Linked DNA regions of Notamacropus eugenii. The protein of the gene in region 1 interacts with the protein of each later gene in a pairwise test. Links are inferred from orthologs where the notes say so. Each region holds a gene or a part of one and is shown in the gene's direction. Other genes may lie near its edges.

Evidence for each region. The genes of interacting proteins can lie anywhere in the genome.
Region 2: the proteins of ZNF410 (region 1) and SERTAD1 interact in binary tests that used the Homo sapiens proteins (3 or more experiments, as listed by UniProt). The two-hybrid records come from large-scale screens. The link is inferred for Notamacropus eugenii from reciprocal best matches to the Homo sapiens genes ZNF410 and SERTAD1.

The regions. Positions count from the first base shown.
Region 1 is NC_092878.1:56,326,748-56,334,059, forward strand, and holds the start of ZNF410 (zinc finger protein 410), read left to right. Parts: upstream 1-4,310; 5' UTR 4,311-4,467; intron 4,468-7,312. UniProt on the Homo sapiens protein: Transcription factor that binds to the sequence motif 5'-CATCCCATAATA-3', and is specifically required to silence expression of fetal hemoglobin in adult erythroid cells.
Region 2 is NC_092876.1:31,106,376-31,113,388, forward strand, and holds SERTAD1 (SERTA domain-containing protein 1), read left to right. Parts: upstream 1-4,447; 5' UTR 4,448-4,657; intron 4,658-4,690; exon of another isoform or gene 4,691-4,842; intron 4,843-5,670; 5' UTR 5,671-5,674; coding exon 5,675-6,340; 3' UTR 6,341-6,500; downstream 6,501-7,013. UniProt on the Homo sapiens protein: Acts at E2F-responsive promoters as coregulator to integrate signals provided by PHD- and/or bromodomain-containing transcription factors. Stimulates E2F1/TFDP1 transcriptional activity.

The DNA.
Region 1 (7,312 bases):
TACAATCCTTCCTGAGCTCCACAAAACTACAGAACTCAACAAGAGAAATCCCAAGTTTTAAAAGAAACACCAGCAAGTCAAGAATTAATCAGCCAGAGTAAGAGCTACATAATACTTCATAGACTTAAAAAAGAAACAAAAGAATTTAAAAAACAAGCCACTGGTACTGACTTGTAGAAATAATTCTGAGAGCTCAAAGGGATCGAATTAAATTATTTTCTCCAGGATTTATTCTGGAGACAATATATCTTTGGTGTTCAAAGAGCTAAACGCGGACCTACAAGAGCTATTTTCGTACCTAAAACCAAGTTTTCAGAATTTGGTACATATATCTGGAACATATTTTAGACCAAATTTTTGGTGTTTGTTTTGTTTCATATATTTGGTAGAATTCTTTCAGTCACAGAACAAAATTTTTTTAAAAATGGAACTCTTACTAGACATCATCTTTCTAAACTGCCCTGCCATCAAGAACCATAAGATGAGCAAGCCTGCTCCAGACTGACAAGAGCAAGCAATAGAAACTCAAGATTCCTAATCATAAAATATTGCCTGAGTTCTCAGAAACAAAATAATTTTTTCCTCATCATCTAAAGGAAAAGAAAAACTCTGAGAAAGGTAAACTGTTTCTAAGTAACAAATGAACAATATCTTACTACCAGTTTAATTCAGAAAGAGGAAACAATGAAAGGCATAGAGCAGAAAAGATTCTCACTGCTACCCCTCAGAAACTTGTACCCTGGAGGGGAAGGAGTGAGGACAGAAAGCCAGTTCCTCAAACCAGACAAAACTGGGTATGTGCACTTTTGCATACATGTGAACACCCGCAGGCATCAGTACAGCTTCTTCCTAGGAACAGTTACTTATCTGATTTATTTCAGTTGCAGTCATCTGTCTGGTTTTATCAAGACAGACAGTAAATAAAAAAGGAAGCAATCAGAGCGGCTAGTTTTGGGTGAATGATTTCTGACCGGACCCTAATGAATAGTCAGGTTGGGGGGACTTTTCAGTAACTGATGAAAGCACCCCACGTATCCAAGGACACACTGAGCTATTAAAAACTTTGCTCCTTTCATTACCTGCACTGAAATATTCATCCTCTGAAAGGGCTGTCACTTCTGTCTCCAGCGGAATCGGGTCACACAAGAGAATGTCTTTGCCCAACACATCACATTCATAGCCATCATCAAAAAGGAGCTTATACTTCCCAGCTCCAACATCTCGTGTTATTTTCCCAGAATAAAAATAGCCATTGGAGGACCACTTGGCTACAACGCGGAGCCCTACAAAGCTGTTTCCTGGAGAGGAGGAGTCTAGGCCATCAGATGGGCCAGCAACAACCTGCAAAGGAATCTCTGGAGAGTCGCTACGGCGTAAACCTCCAGTACTGCCATCTGCTCGTTTGTTGGCATCTGGCATACGGGGTACAATGCGAGTGAAGGGTTTATCCTCCGGCGAGACACTTGTTGAGATATCCTCGACACCAAGAGGGCTAGGCAAAGCTGTTTCTCTGAAAAGGAAATGTAGAATGAGGAAGTGAGAATGAGATGAATGAATTAAGGAGGATGCACATTAACTTCTCATTTCCCTGCCTCAGAGAAGGAGCGGAATGATCAGCCACGGATTCTGAAGTCATGAGTCTGGTCTTCCAGCTGCTCTCACCTTTACTCACATCATCTGGCAGTCCCTACACCATCCCCTCTTCTCTCCTGGCACCCCATGCACTACTCTCTCCTCCTCCTATTTTAATGAACAAAAACCCAACGAAGCACATCTCACTAATTCTCTCTAGGCTCTCACCCTAAGCTGGAGCTGACTCACTCATCCTATTCCTACCCATTCTATCAGGTTGGGGTGGTCCTTCCAGAGGGATGGCCATACAGTTACTGCTCATCTTCAGGGTCCTAACAACAGCCCTTCTGATGGGGTGGGAATACACGCCCACAACTTGTTTGTTTCTCATTTATACAAAGTAGTCAAAATGACACAATTGACTCCTAAAAAGCCACATATTTACTAATCAGAAAGCAAAGCACACACACAAAAAAAATCATTTAAAAAAACCGTTTCAAGAGAAGGAAAAATCAAGAATAGTCAAAACATAACGGTATACCTATAAAACTGGAACACATTCTTCTACCTATGCATACGATGTCCACGGGGGAAAGTGGGCACACAAAGAAACCTAGTATTGAAGTACTGTAAGAAAACTCATGTGCCCACAGCAACTTAAAACTCTGGACTACAGACTTTAAACAGTCTGTCCTTCACCTGCTATGCAGGCCTCTCTACTCTCCTGCTGGATGAAGCTACTACTCTGCTACTGTTAGGCAACCAGAGCAGCACTGAGCTTTTCTTTTAAACAGGTGCAGCAGCTCTGATTCTACAGCCTTCAGCTTTCCATGTGCGCTTATGCGGCTCTCTGGGCTTTGTGCTAAAGAGCAATTCAGAGAAACCCAGCCAGTTCTTCATACAGAAAGATTCTGCCTTCTCCAGTCAGGTCCCATCAGCACATTCAGATGCTGTTTGTCTTCTGTTAGCTGGAAGTTGCTGTTTTTATTTTCTCATTCTTTTCCTGCTGCTTTCATGAATTAGTAGGCAGCCTCTGCCCTGTTTCAGTTTCTCTTTCTACTATCAGCTCATCTCTTCAGGTGGATGTTGTCTTCTCATTCTTATATTTCTGCCTCTCTTGTCTCCCTTCTCCCTTCGCCTGCCCCATGCCTCCCAAATCAAGATTCCCTCAGGAATAGTGACTACTCATCTCTAACTTGGTTGAGAAACCCAAGATTCACAATGCTATCAAGTATTCTGCAAGTAATTATTACACAATATTTCTGAAATAATTTAATGGATTGTTTGGTGAATAATAAACACCTGTCCTAAACATATCATTTTACAACGCTGTGGGAGTTTGTAAAATAGCACTCTTACTCACAGTTTATTCAAGAATAAGAGGTACTAAACAATATAACTCTTAAAAACTCAAAATTAAACTTTTAAGTCACCATGTAAACTGTTGAATGATTTTCACGCTGAATTACTATAATTACCAAAAGAATGCAAGCTTTTGGACACTTCCAATATTTCTGTTTTGATCAGTGTCTAAAAGCACAATTCCTGCTGATTATTGTTGAATATAAACCCCAACATGAACTTGAATACAAAAAAGTCCCACTTAAGACAATTTAACCTTATGATGTTAGGTCATTAGGCTACATTGATCAGAAAACTATTTTCAAGACCACAATTTCATGAGATACCTATTTTTCGAGGTGGTCAATTTGCAAATTTGTTTTCCTTGACTGCTTGTCAATTACAAGGGAGGGTTTTAATGGGGAAGGTGAGTAATAGGAGAGAGGATTAATAACAGGCAGAGATAAAAAGGAGTCCTCCTAAAGTGTTTTGAACAGACTCGAGAGACAAGAGAGAAGCTGGACAATTCTGGAAGTAACGTATGGATTATACTTAAAGAGAAACAATGATTCATACAATGGAGATTTGCACTTTTATGTCCATGACTCTTTTTCTATTCTCCGTATCTGGAAATGCTCACATTTGTTGGTATTTTTCAAGTTCATAATTAAAATAACATTTAAAAAAAAAGAAACATGGTATTTCAAATCCTGTTAAAATTAGAGTCCAAGTCTGAATTTTAAGCACGCAAGTACAACAGAATACAAAAGTACAAAGTGAATAAAAAGCAAAAGTATAAATGAAAAACCAGTATAAAAACTATATGATAAGAAGTTTAAAACCCAGCAAGTTCTAGAAATATCGTACCGTAAGTAGAAAAACTGTAAATCACTTGGGATACAATTGAGGAGAGTATATTCTGGCTCTGGACTCACCATCCCAGGGTCCGTCTGGCCCATCTCCGCCTCAGGATCCTGGGGGTGCCCCGGGAGGTTGTGGGGGTCTCTTGTAAGGGCAGCCATGTGCCCCCTCGGGGCTCACCTACAGAGGCACTCGGGTTCCACTTAACCTGTTCACGTCAGTTAGCTTTTACAAAGGGATATTTATTCACTACGAAGATATAATAATAACAAAAATGCACACTTCCCCTCATTGCTTCAGGGAAACACTTTCTCCTAGAACACCTTATTCTCTGGGAAAACGAGTCTCAGTCAGACCTAGCACAGCTCCCTCGGTGCCCACAACTTGCCAGACTCCAAAACGCTGTTTTGAATACAGACGTAGTGAAGGGAGAAGAGTAGAGCTGGTGACTGATTGGATGTAGAGGGTGAGAGCCCGCCCCCGCCACACCACTCCAACCAATGGAAGGACGTCCGCCTCGGTCTCGTCCCCGGCTCCTCCCCTGAGTGGCGTGGAGTTATCGGCTTGAGGGGCGGGGAGGGGAGGAGGCTCAAACTTCCTGTCCCGCGCTCAAACAGCTTCCGGCGAGAGCCGGAAGCCCCGCTTCTGGACAGACTCAGGGACCAGGGACTGCTGGCCGCTCAGGGCTGGAAGGTGAGAGCGGGGATTGTGTGCGGCCAGGCCAGGTCAGCGTCGGGTGACGGCCGCGCGGCGGAGTCCAGGCCGCGCGGAGGCGGGCGGAGCAGCTCCGGGTCCCCAAAGGGCAAGTGGGAGGGGAAAGGGACGCTGCCCCCCGGAGACTCCTTTCGCGGGAGTCAGCCCCGCTCTCGGGGAGGGGGCGGGGGGGCCTCTTGTTCTAGGCCGCCGGGCCGCAGACTTAAGCCTCGGGCCTCTTCCCCGGAGGGCTGGGGAGCTCCCAGGAGCCCCGAGATGTCCGAGGTCTCCGGCGGGGTCTCTGGGGCGACGCTGCCTTCTTACCCTCGGGCGCACCCGGCCTCCCCCTCCCCGGACTCGGCTCCTGGTCCAAGGGCCCTGGAAGAAATGGAGGCGGGTGTCCGTCCCAGGGTGGCCGAGGCTGCGTCCGCCTGGACGTGTCGTCCCGGGCTGCCCTCGGCCTTCCCGCCCTGGCTAGGGGTCCACGGAAGGGCCGAGGGTGGCCGAAGGCCTGGCCTTCCCCCTGCCTTTTGGGCTCCTCGCCCCCATTCATTTAATGTATCGAACTCCGCAGTCCCTTAGTGAGTTTTGTTCCGTCTCCAACAAGAAACAATTGGAGAGGCACTGTTATTTTGTTTTAAGAAAGTTCCCCTTAGATCCCATGTTCCAGTGCTGGAAGCTCATCTGGGACAGTTTTAAATTGGGAATGCTTCCGATCGAGCATTTGGGTCCTTATTTTTGATAGAGGTCGCTTCTTAAAATTCGAACCCATTTAACCCCTTTCGTGCCGAGACCACCGCAGTGGGTTAGGACTCCAGCATGTAAAACGAGAGGGCAGATGGCCTCGAGGGCCCCCTTCTGCTCCGAAGTTATCATTCTGTAAATATCAGTGTTGTGTTTACCTGGGTCACAAATACAGAGCTTAAAAGGTAATTACTTCAGTCTTAAAAATTAAGGAAATTTTAAAATCGGGAGATTTGGTTTGTAGTGGAGAGACCACTCCAGTGCTGCTCTATAGTATAAAGGAAGTCGGTGTTGTGGCGCTCAGGAGAGCTAAATTTTAGCTCTAGCTTGTCTCTACATGGCTGGGTGCATAATCATTTATTTCTCAAATTTTTTTATCTGTGAAATATGGTAATTGATCCACGTCCTAATTGAATTATTCTAAATTTGTTGAACTAAACAGGATAGTTTTGACTTTATGAGGACCTTTGCAACTCTCAAATTCATTGGTAGTATCAAGTACACCATAATTATCAGTAGAATTTGTTGATCTCTTAAAGTACTACTCCATTCGAAAATTTGGATATTATCAATTTGCTGTATGTATCATGTTTCTTGCTTTTGAACATGTTTTGTCTGCAAAATGTCCTACCATCAATAGGATTTTTGTCTTACTCCATTAAATTATCCTTGTTATCAATTCCTGTGACCCAACACTGTACAGATAGGGCTGAAAGGATCAAAGGTACAGACTGGGCAGTGGTTAGAGAATAGTCCAAGTGGCTTCTTAAATTAGGGGGCGAGTTATATAGTATATTATTATTCAGTTTTTATCTCAGTAATTTTAACAAACACATTGCTATATAGTAACATGTGACTATTAAGCAAGTGTTTAAAATTTATTCTTTATGTTGAGGACTGTTATTGACTTAGTTATTATTTTAATGCCTCCTGTGTGCTAGGTAGGCAGTGTGGATATAAAATTGAGTCAGTTCCTTTCCTCAGGAAACCTTACTTGGTGAGGTACAAACATTTTCACACACAAGTAAATACAAGGTATGCACAGAATAAATATATAAATATGATGATTGGGGGAGCTCTGACAACTGGGGTAATTAGGAGAGACTTCTTGAAGCAAGTGTCCCTTGACCTGAGTCTTGAAGGGAGCATTGGCACCCAAATGGTAGGAAGGAAAAAGAATATATCCCTCCAATTACTCAAATATTGAGAAAAGTCTCAAGAGTTACAAATATTATCTCTCCATGTAGAAATATAAAGAGTTCAACTTTAGTAAAGTCCCTTATGATTTCTCTTTCTTGTTTACTTTTTCATGCTTCTCTTGATTCTTGTGTTTGAAAGTCAGATTTTCTATTCAGCTCTGGTCTTTTCATCAAGAATGCTTGAAAGTCCTCTGTATCTTTTTTTTTAAAATTTATTTATTTATTTAACTTTTAACATTCATTTTCACAGAATTTTGGGCTCCAAATTTTCTCCCCCCTTGTCCCCTCCCCCCACCCCAAAACACCGAGCATTCCAATTGCCCCCATCACCAATCTGCTCTCTCCTCCATCATTCCTCTCTGCCCTTGTCTCCATCCTCTCCTCTGTCCTGTAGGGCCAAATAACTTTCTATACCCCTTTACCTGTATTTCTTATTTCCTAGTGGCAAGAACAGTACTCGACAGTTGTTCCTAAAACTTTGAGTTCCAACTTCTTTTCCTCCCTCCCTCCCCACCCCCTCCCTTTGGAAGGCAAGCAATTCAATATAGGCCAAATCTTTGTAGTTTTGCAAATGACTTCCATAATAGTCGTGTTGTATAAGACTAACTATATTTCCCTCCATCCTATCCTGCCCCCAATTACTTCTATTCTCTCTTTTGATCCTGTCCCTCCTCAAATTGCACCCTCCTCCCCATGCCCTCCCTTCCATCGTCCCCCCCACCCTGTTTATCCCCTTATCCCCCACTTTCCTGTATTGTAAGATAGGTTTTCATACCAAAATGAGTGTGCATTTTATTCCTTCCTTTAGTGGAATGTGATGAGAGTAAACTTCATGTTTTTCTCTCACCTCCCCTCTTTTTCCCCAAACTAAAAAAGTCTTTTGCTTGCCTCTTTTATGAGAG
Region 2 (7,013 bases), on another chromosome or scaffold:
TGAGGGGACCTTACTGCAGTGATCCCCGGGCGATCAAAGTCCTGGAATATCAGAATCATAGGACCTAGAAGGGATCTTAAAAACCATCTTGCAAATAAGAAAACTGAGCCCCAGAAAGGTCTACTTACTACTCACAAGCGGTGACAGAGTATTTTAACAGAGGTCCAAATCAAGGGGGAAGAGGGGAAGACGGAGGGGGTAGGGGAGGACTCTGATTACTGAGATATTAAAAGGATAAGGGCTTTCGATCTTATTGGTAAAAGGAACTCCTAGAAGACCCAGTGGATGTCATTCTGGACTGAGTGTCAGAGACGGGAGTTCAAATCCTTCTATAAACAAGCGTCCATGGGCAAGTCATTGAACCACTCAGCCTAAATCTCCTTATTTGTAAAATGGAAAATTGAATAACTTCGATATCTTTGTTCCTTTCCAGGTCTCAATTCATGATTCCAAATGAGGCTAATCCCTCTACCTATGCAGGTCAGCACCTTCTCAGTAATTAATAGTCTTGAGTTGCCAAGAGCATTAAAAATTAAGTTACTTACCCAGGGTCCCACCATAGGTATTGTCTGAGGTAGGATTTGAACCCAGAACTTTCTGGTTCTGAAGCCAGCTCTCTCTACCCATTGCTTCAGCCTGTTTCTCACACTATAATAATATAAAACCAAAATCCTGGGCATTTCCCAAATTTATCTTTGAGGATAAAACAATAGGGCAAGTTTTCCTTGCCAAGTCCAATCCATCTACCAGTTTTCAGAAGAGGGTCCTTACAGAGTCTCCAATCCTACCCCACTATTTTATTACAGGGGGACTTAGAGTTGGTAAGAGTCTTAACGGAGACCCCATATCGAGTCAGTGGCAGAGACTTGTCTAGGACTCGGGGCTCTCTGGGGACCCTTTTCAGCAGGGACCCTGTGGGGTGCAAGCAGGGTCTCCTAACTCCTGCCCCTTCTCCCATAAAGGGACAATGGTGGTTGGTGTGAATGGAAAGCACCTGGATGATCACCAAGATCCTGAAGAGGTGGAGGTCGGGAAGGAGTCCCAGGAGCAGGCCCCTTATTCCATGTCCAACAGGTCTGGCATAGGCCAGACCCTAATTTGCCCTTCAATGGACAAATTCCAGCTAGCCTTCCCCCAAACCTCCTGAGGCAAGTGCTCATCACAGACACCCTGAACCACATCAGGGAAGAGATGAACCTGGAGAGGAGCGCAGCCTTGCCCCAGGAACCTAGGTTGGAGCTGCTTTTACCCTCAACTGCCCAGTCTGCCAACAAGTTCCTCAGAGAGCTGGAGGTGATAAGCTGGAGGCTTAAGAATCACACAAGACCACTGTGAGCCCCCAGATCTGAGTTGTAGCCCTACCTCTGCCCCTGATCTGTTGAGTGACTGCAAGCCAACACCTTCCCCTCTTCGGGCCTCAATTTCCCCATCTGTCAGAGTTGAGGAACCTGCCCTAGGCAGCTTTGAGATCATGGGCAACAGGTACTTTGGAAACCTGGTTCCTGATGACCTCTTCCCTGACATTGACACATCAGATGTGGAAAGGGATTCTTGGCCCTCACTTTTTGCCCTTGCCTCCTCCTCTGGGACAGAATGGGACTGGACTGAACTGGATCAAATTTTGGAAATCATCAAGGGATCATAAGACTGTGGGGGTGTGGGGCAAGACCCCAAGTCCCCTAGGACCCTGAACCCTTCATTTAGATACTTGCTTACCTCTGAAGAGTTTCAAGAAAGTGGTCTCCAAAGATTTCCTATCTCAGGAAGCTGTAGTGAAGCTTCCTTGTGACTTGGGAAAGTCTCCTGGCCTAGTCTCAGGGCCTGCTGATGGCAAAAAAAACAGATTGTATCTCTCTTTTTTGATGGCTTGATGGAACACTGCTCCCCCTGTCTTCATCCTCCCACAGCCAAAGCTGCTGCCAGGGAATCCCTCCTCCTCTCCCCCTATCACCCTGACTGGCCCATGGTGTGCAAGGACCAAGCACTCTGGGGCTGCTATTCTTACTCCAGTTAGTCTCCTAGGAGCTTGGTCCCCGGGTACTCCCTAATTTTTCCCTTAATTTGGCTTCATATCCCATGAAGAAGCTGGCTTCAGGGTTGAGTAACTGCCTGGGGAAAAAAAGGGGGCAGGGCAGGGCTGAAAGCCAGGAGCCTGGGCCTCTGGGGAGACAAAGTCCAGATTGCCAGGAGGAGGGGCTCTAGACCAACCCCCCCTTCCCTTCCACCCAACTCCCAAGGTTGACAGGTATGGAAACAGTAAGAAATCACATCTTCTTCCTCCCCCCTCCCCCCCTCCTGGCCAGGAGTACCCCCCTCCTTTGCCCCCCTCCTTTGTGCTTGATCACCCCCTTCCCTACCCAAAGAGGCTTTGATGAAGTGCAACAGGGATAAAGGAATCTTTATTTGTGGTCACACCTTTTTTTTCTGTTTTGAAAAGACCTATTTTACCTGTTTGGGTTTTTTTTTTTTTTGTGAATAAAACTTTCAAATTCTATAATGTCCCTTTAATCCATTCTTCTTCCCATCATGCTTTTTGGCCTGGAGCCTCTGGTGGATAGGAACAGGTAGCCTGCCTTATAGGGGCAGGGGGCAGGTGTTTCCGCTTTCTCCACCAGGCCCTCCTTGCCTTTAAGGGTACTCCTGGGTGAGGTGGTCAGTTTAGACTTAGTCGTGGAAGTTAGACATCATCTCATCCAATCTCCACATTTTAGGGGGAAATTTAGGGTTGGAAGAGGAAGAAACTTACCTCAAATCCTCTGCTCTCAAAGAGTGCACCCCTGGGGAACCCCTGGGGCCCTTTCTGGAAGTCTGCAATGTTAAAACTTTTAATAATAATACGAAGACGTTTTAATTTCTAACATGGTAAATAGAGATTGATATTCGACAAACAAAAGCTCTTGGTCGGGAAGTACCTCCTCAATAATTTCTAAGAATGGAAAAGAGTCCTGGAACCCAAAAGTTTTTCATATCGGGGTGTAGTAATACAGGAGGAAATCCTTTTCTTCTGCTGGGGGAGGGGGGCTTTGTGGAAGAGTGGTGACAGGCTCTGACTCAGTGTCTCCTTTCTTCTTACTACCCCACTTTGTTTAGGAGGAGGGGTGTAAAAGGGCTGGCAGAGCTCCTCAACCCCAGGAGCTGGCCCTCAAAGCAGGGTCTGGTGAGGAGAGTTTACTCAGCTGTGGGGAGATCATGGCTCCCCTCCAGTCTAGGATGGACCAGCTGGATAGTTCTGCAGAATTCTCTCCCTCCTCCAGACTACAAGTTGGGGAAAAGAGAAGGGGTATGTTTGTGGTGCAGGATACAGTCTGGACACTGCTGGAAGGACTCCTGAGAAAGCTGTCTAGCTGGGCCCCTTCCACCTGCCCCACCCACCCCGGGGGCCCTGCTAGCTCTTCCCTTCCTGGCCCCAAGACTCTGGTTTCTCCCTCTAATAAAGCCCCCGGGGTGCTCTAGCTTCGGAGCCACAGGTCGCGCGCGCTCGTTTTCTTGTAACTTTCGTTTCCGTGCCTTGGGCAGGCCCTCCTCTCCTTCCCCCCACTCCGCCCCACTGTTCCCCTCCGTCGGGGCCTCTCTCATCTGTTCCCCAGCTGCCAAGAAGTTAGGGACGGACAGGGCTCGACTCAGCTGCTTGGAATCGCCCAATGGCAGAGCCCCAGCGACCTCAAGAGCTCAAGCCTCTCCTCATTCGAAGCAGGGACTTGGGTCCAAAAGAGGGAAGGGTCCTAGGAGTCTGGGCCTGCAAAAGCCTTGGAAACTATCTGGTGCAGCCCTGATTTTGCAGCGGAGACCCAGAAAAGGAAAGTGATCTGCCAAGGTCACACAGGTCTACCCTGCCTGGAGCAGAGCCTAAATTCAAGCTCGGGGCCTCGGAGCCCCCAGGCATTTTCCATTCCATCCCGCACAGATCCACCGAGTCCTAGAGACCTAGACTATGCTCCCAGGGTTTCCCTCCCCACCCCCCCAGAACTCGCTCTAGCAGGCTTTTTAAGGAGGCTGGGTCGGGAAGGTGATGGCAAGGGGGAAGGGGGAGAGGGCTCTACGATTTCCCTCAGGGCCTTTCGGTCCAGCTTCGGTGCCAGAGTCTCTGTGGCAAAAATGAGGAGGAAAGGATGGTCCAAGGGGGTGGGCTAGCTAAACAGGTGCTTGTGGGGGTCTTGTCAACCCAAGCAAGAAGGGGAGGACCCAGCCCCTTTTAGGGGGAAGTGGGGGAGAATCCGTTTCTTCAGCTCCTTCATCCAACCCTTCCCAAAAGCCCAAGAACGGACCCCCGCCCTCGCCCTCCCTAGCCCGGAAAGCGACAGCTGAGACCAAAGACACACGGACTGGCCAACCAGAGAGTGCCCCCGTCCCGGGCCTCAGGGCCTGGGGAATCCAGCTCGGGGAACCTGGGCCCCTGGATGGCCTCGCCTCCCTCTTAGCCCCGCCCATCACGGAAGCGAACCAATCCCGAATTCCTGGGGCGGAGCCTCTCAGGGGCGGGGCAGAAACAGAGGAAAGTAGCAACCCCACGACCGCGCGCCCGGGCCAGTGCAGCTTCTAGCGACCCAGGGGCCGGCCGCGGGAGGAGTGAGCGAGCGAGCGATGCGGTCGCCTCTGCCGCTTCCTGATTGGCTGCTGGTGGCGTCGCGGACCCTCTGATTGGCAGCCGACGAGTTGGGTATGTAAATGAGGCGAAGGGGAAGGGGGGAAGGGGGTAGGCTTTGGGGGCCGGAGAGGGGATCGCCATCCCGGGCGAGTCCGATCCCCTGGCGGCGTCCGATGCTCCCGGCGCGGCTCCCCGGGCGCCAGGCCGGGCCCGACCCGGGGCGCTGTCGCTGCCGCTGGCGCCTGCTCCGGCCCGGGGTGAATCACGCCCCAGCCCCGGGGAAGGGGAAGGGGGCGGGGAGCGGGGGCGCCGGCTCCCTGGCTCCGGCTGCGTGACTCACCCGCCCCCGCGGCCGCCGCAGCCGTGCCGGGCCGGGCCGGAAGCGGGAGCGGAGGCCGGGCCGGGCGGGGAGCCGAGCCGGAGCCGGAACCAAGCGGGGCCGGGCCGGGCCAGGCGGGGAGCCGAGCGAGGCTGGGCCGGGGGCGCCCGCCTTCTGAGGCTGCCCCCTCCCCCACTCCCAGCTGACCCGACCGGCCCCAGGGGCGTCCGGCCTCTGCCCTTGACTCTTGCTTGGCCCAGAGCGAGCCCCGTCCTCCGAGCCCCCACTGCCCGCGCCCCGCTCTGTGGAAGGAGAGGAGGGGTCCCCGGCTCCTGGCAGGCCAATCTGAGTTGTACAAAAGAGAAAACTGAGGCCCAGCGGTGTTGTGACTTGGGATCCTAGTCTGAGCTGGAAGGGGCTCCAGGGGCCATTATACCGGAGTGAGGGTCGACCTTTTTAGTATTGGAACCCCTGGAGCAGTCTGGTGAAGCCCATGGACTGCTTTCCAGAATAATGTTTTAAAGTGTATGAAATAAAACACAGAATTCAGAATTCATTAGTATTGGAATACAGTTATTAAAATATTTTTAAAATGTTCACAGACCCCAGGTTAAGACTCCCTGCACTAGAAGGTCTCTCGCTAATTTTCTGGGATTCATTGTCCCAAGGCATCAGGAGAGGGGTTTTCAGAGTCCTTTGATGGAGAGAACCAAAAGAATGCTCACAAAAGACCATTTTCTGACCCCATACCCCCATTTCTCCACAGACCCATGTTGTGCAAAGGAGTGAAACGTAAGCGAGAGGAGGAAGAGGAGGAAAACCTGACCTCACAGGACTGGTGGCTAGAGGAGGCCACTCCCAGCCCAAGCCCTGAGGAGGGGGCTGGCCCAGCACCCCTGCCCCCCAGCTCACTCTTCAGCCTGTCTATATTCAAACTCCACCATGGCCTTCGGAGGGGCGAGCCAGATCTCCGCCACCTTGTCCTGGTGGTCAACACCTTGAGGAGAATTCAGTCCTCTATGGCCCTGGAGCCCTCTGCCCCAGAACCCCCTTCTCCAGCTCCTGTTGACCCCTTCCCAGTGGTCCCTGATGCCCCTCTGTGCACGTCTGTCTCAGCCCTTCTGGATGACCTGAGTCACATTGAGGGCCTCAGTGACACCCAGACAGCCTTCCCTGAAGATGCCCCCCTTAGCCGGCCCCCGGACCTGGGCCTGGATCCTGGGCGGCCAGCCCCTGTGGGGTCCCTGGAGCTCCTCCTGGAGGATGGACTGGAGGGTCTTTTTGATGACATTGACACCTCCATGTATGACTGTGAACTGTGGCCCAATCTTAAAACAGACTCTGGGGAAACAGAGGACAAGATACAGGGGCCAGGGCTGGACGTGTCTGAACTAGATTACCTCATGGATGTGCTTGTGGGTACACAGACTTTGTAGGGAAATGGTTCCCTGCCTGCCCCCAAGAGACCTGAAATGGACTAGAGCTGCTGGGAGCTCCCCTCCTGTTACAGACTGTAGGGGTGAGGGGGGGTCATGGAATTGTGGGGAGGAAAGCGTGGACGGTTTTTAAGATGAAAACAATTAATATATGAAACAATTTGTTCCTTGTCTCTCTCTCTCTCTCCCTCTCTCCCTCCCCCCATCTGTGCATATTTAAAGTGAATTATTGACCCTTGCTACTGCTACTTGTCAGGTAATCTCAGGGAAAGGTTATTTGCCTCTGGGCCTCAGTTTCCTCAACTGGGAAATGAAGAGGTTGGATCCTGTGATCTGTAGGTCTCAACTCTGTCTCCAACTCTCTGTGTGGGCTTGAGGAAGTCTCTCACTTTCTCTGGTCCTCAGCTTCCCTTCTGTATGATGGTTGGAATAGATGTGTTTCCCTAAGACCTCATCCAGTTTTAACTTTCTGTTCTAAGGTCACACTGAATAATATACAATCTCAGAACTAAGAGGGACCTCAGTGCGGTAGAATATGGATGGATGGGGGGATGGATGAAGCATTTAAAAGCTTCCTGTGTACCAAATTCTATATGATAAGCTCTGGAAACACAAATGTAAGTATGGTGGCCCCCATCTTCAACTAGCTTACATTTTAATCATGGAAAATAAC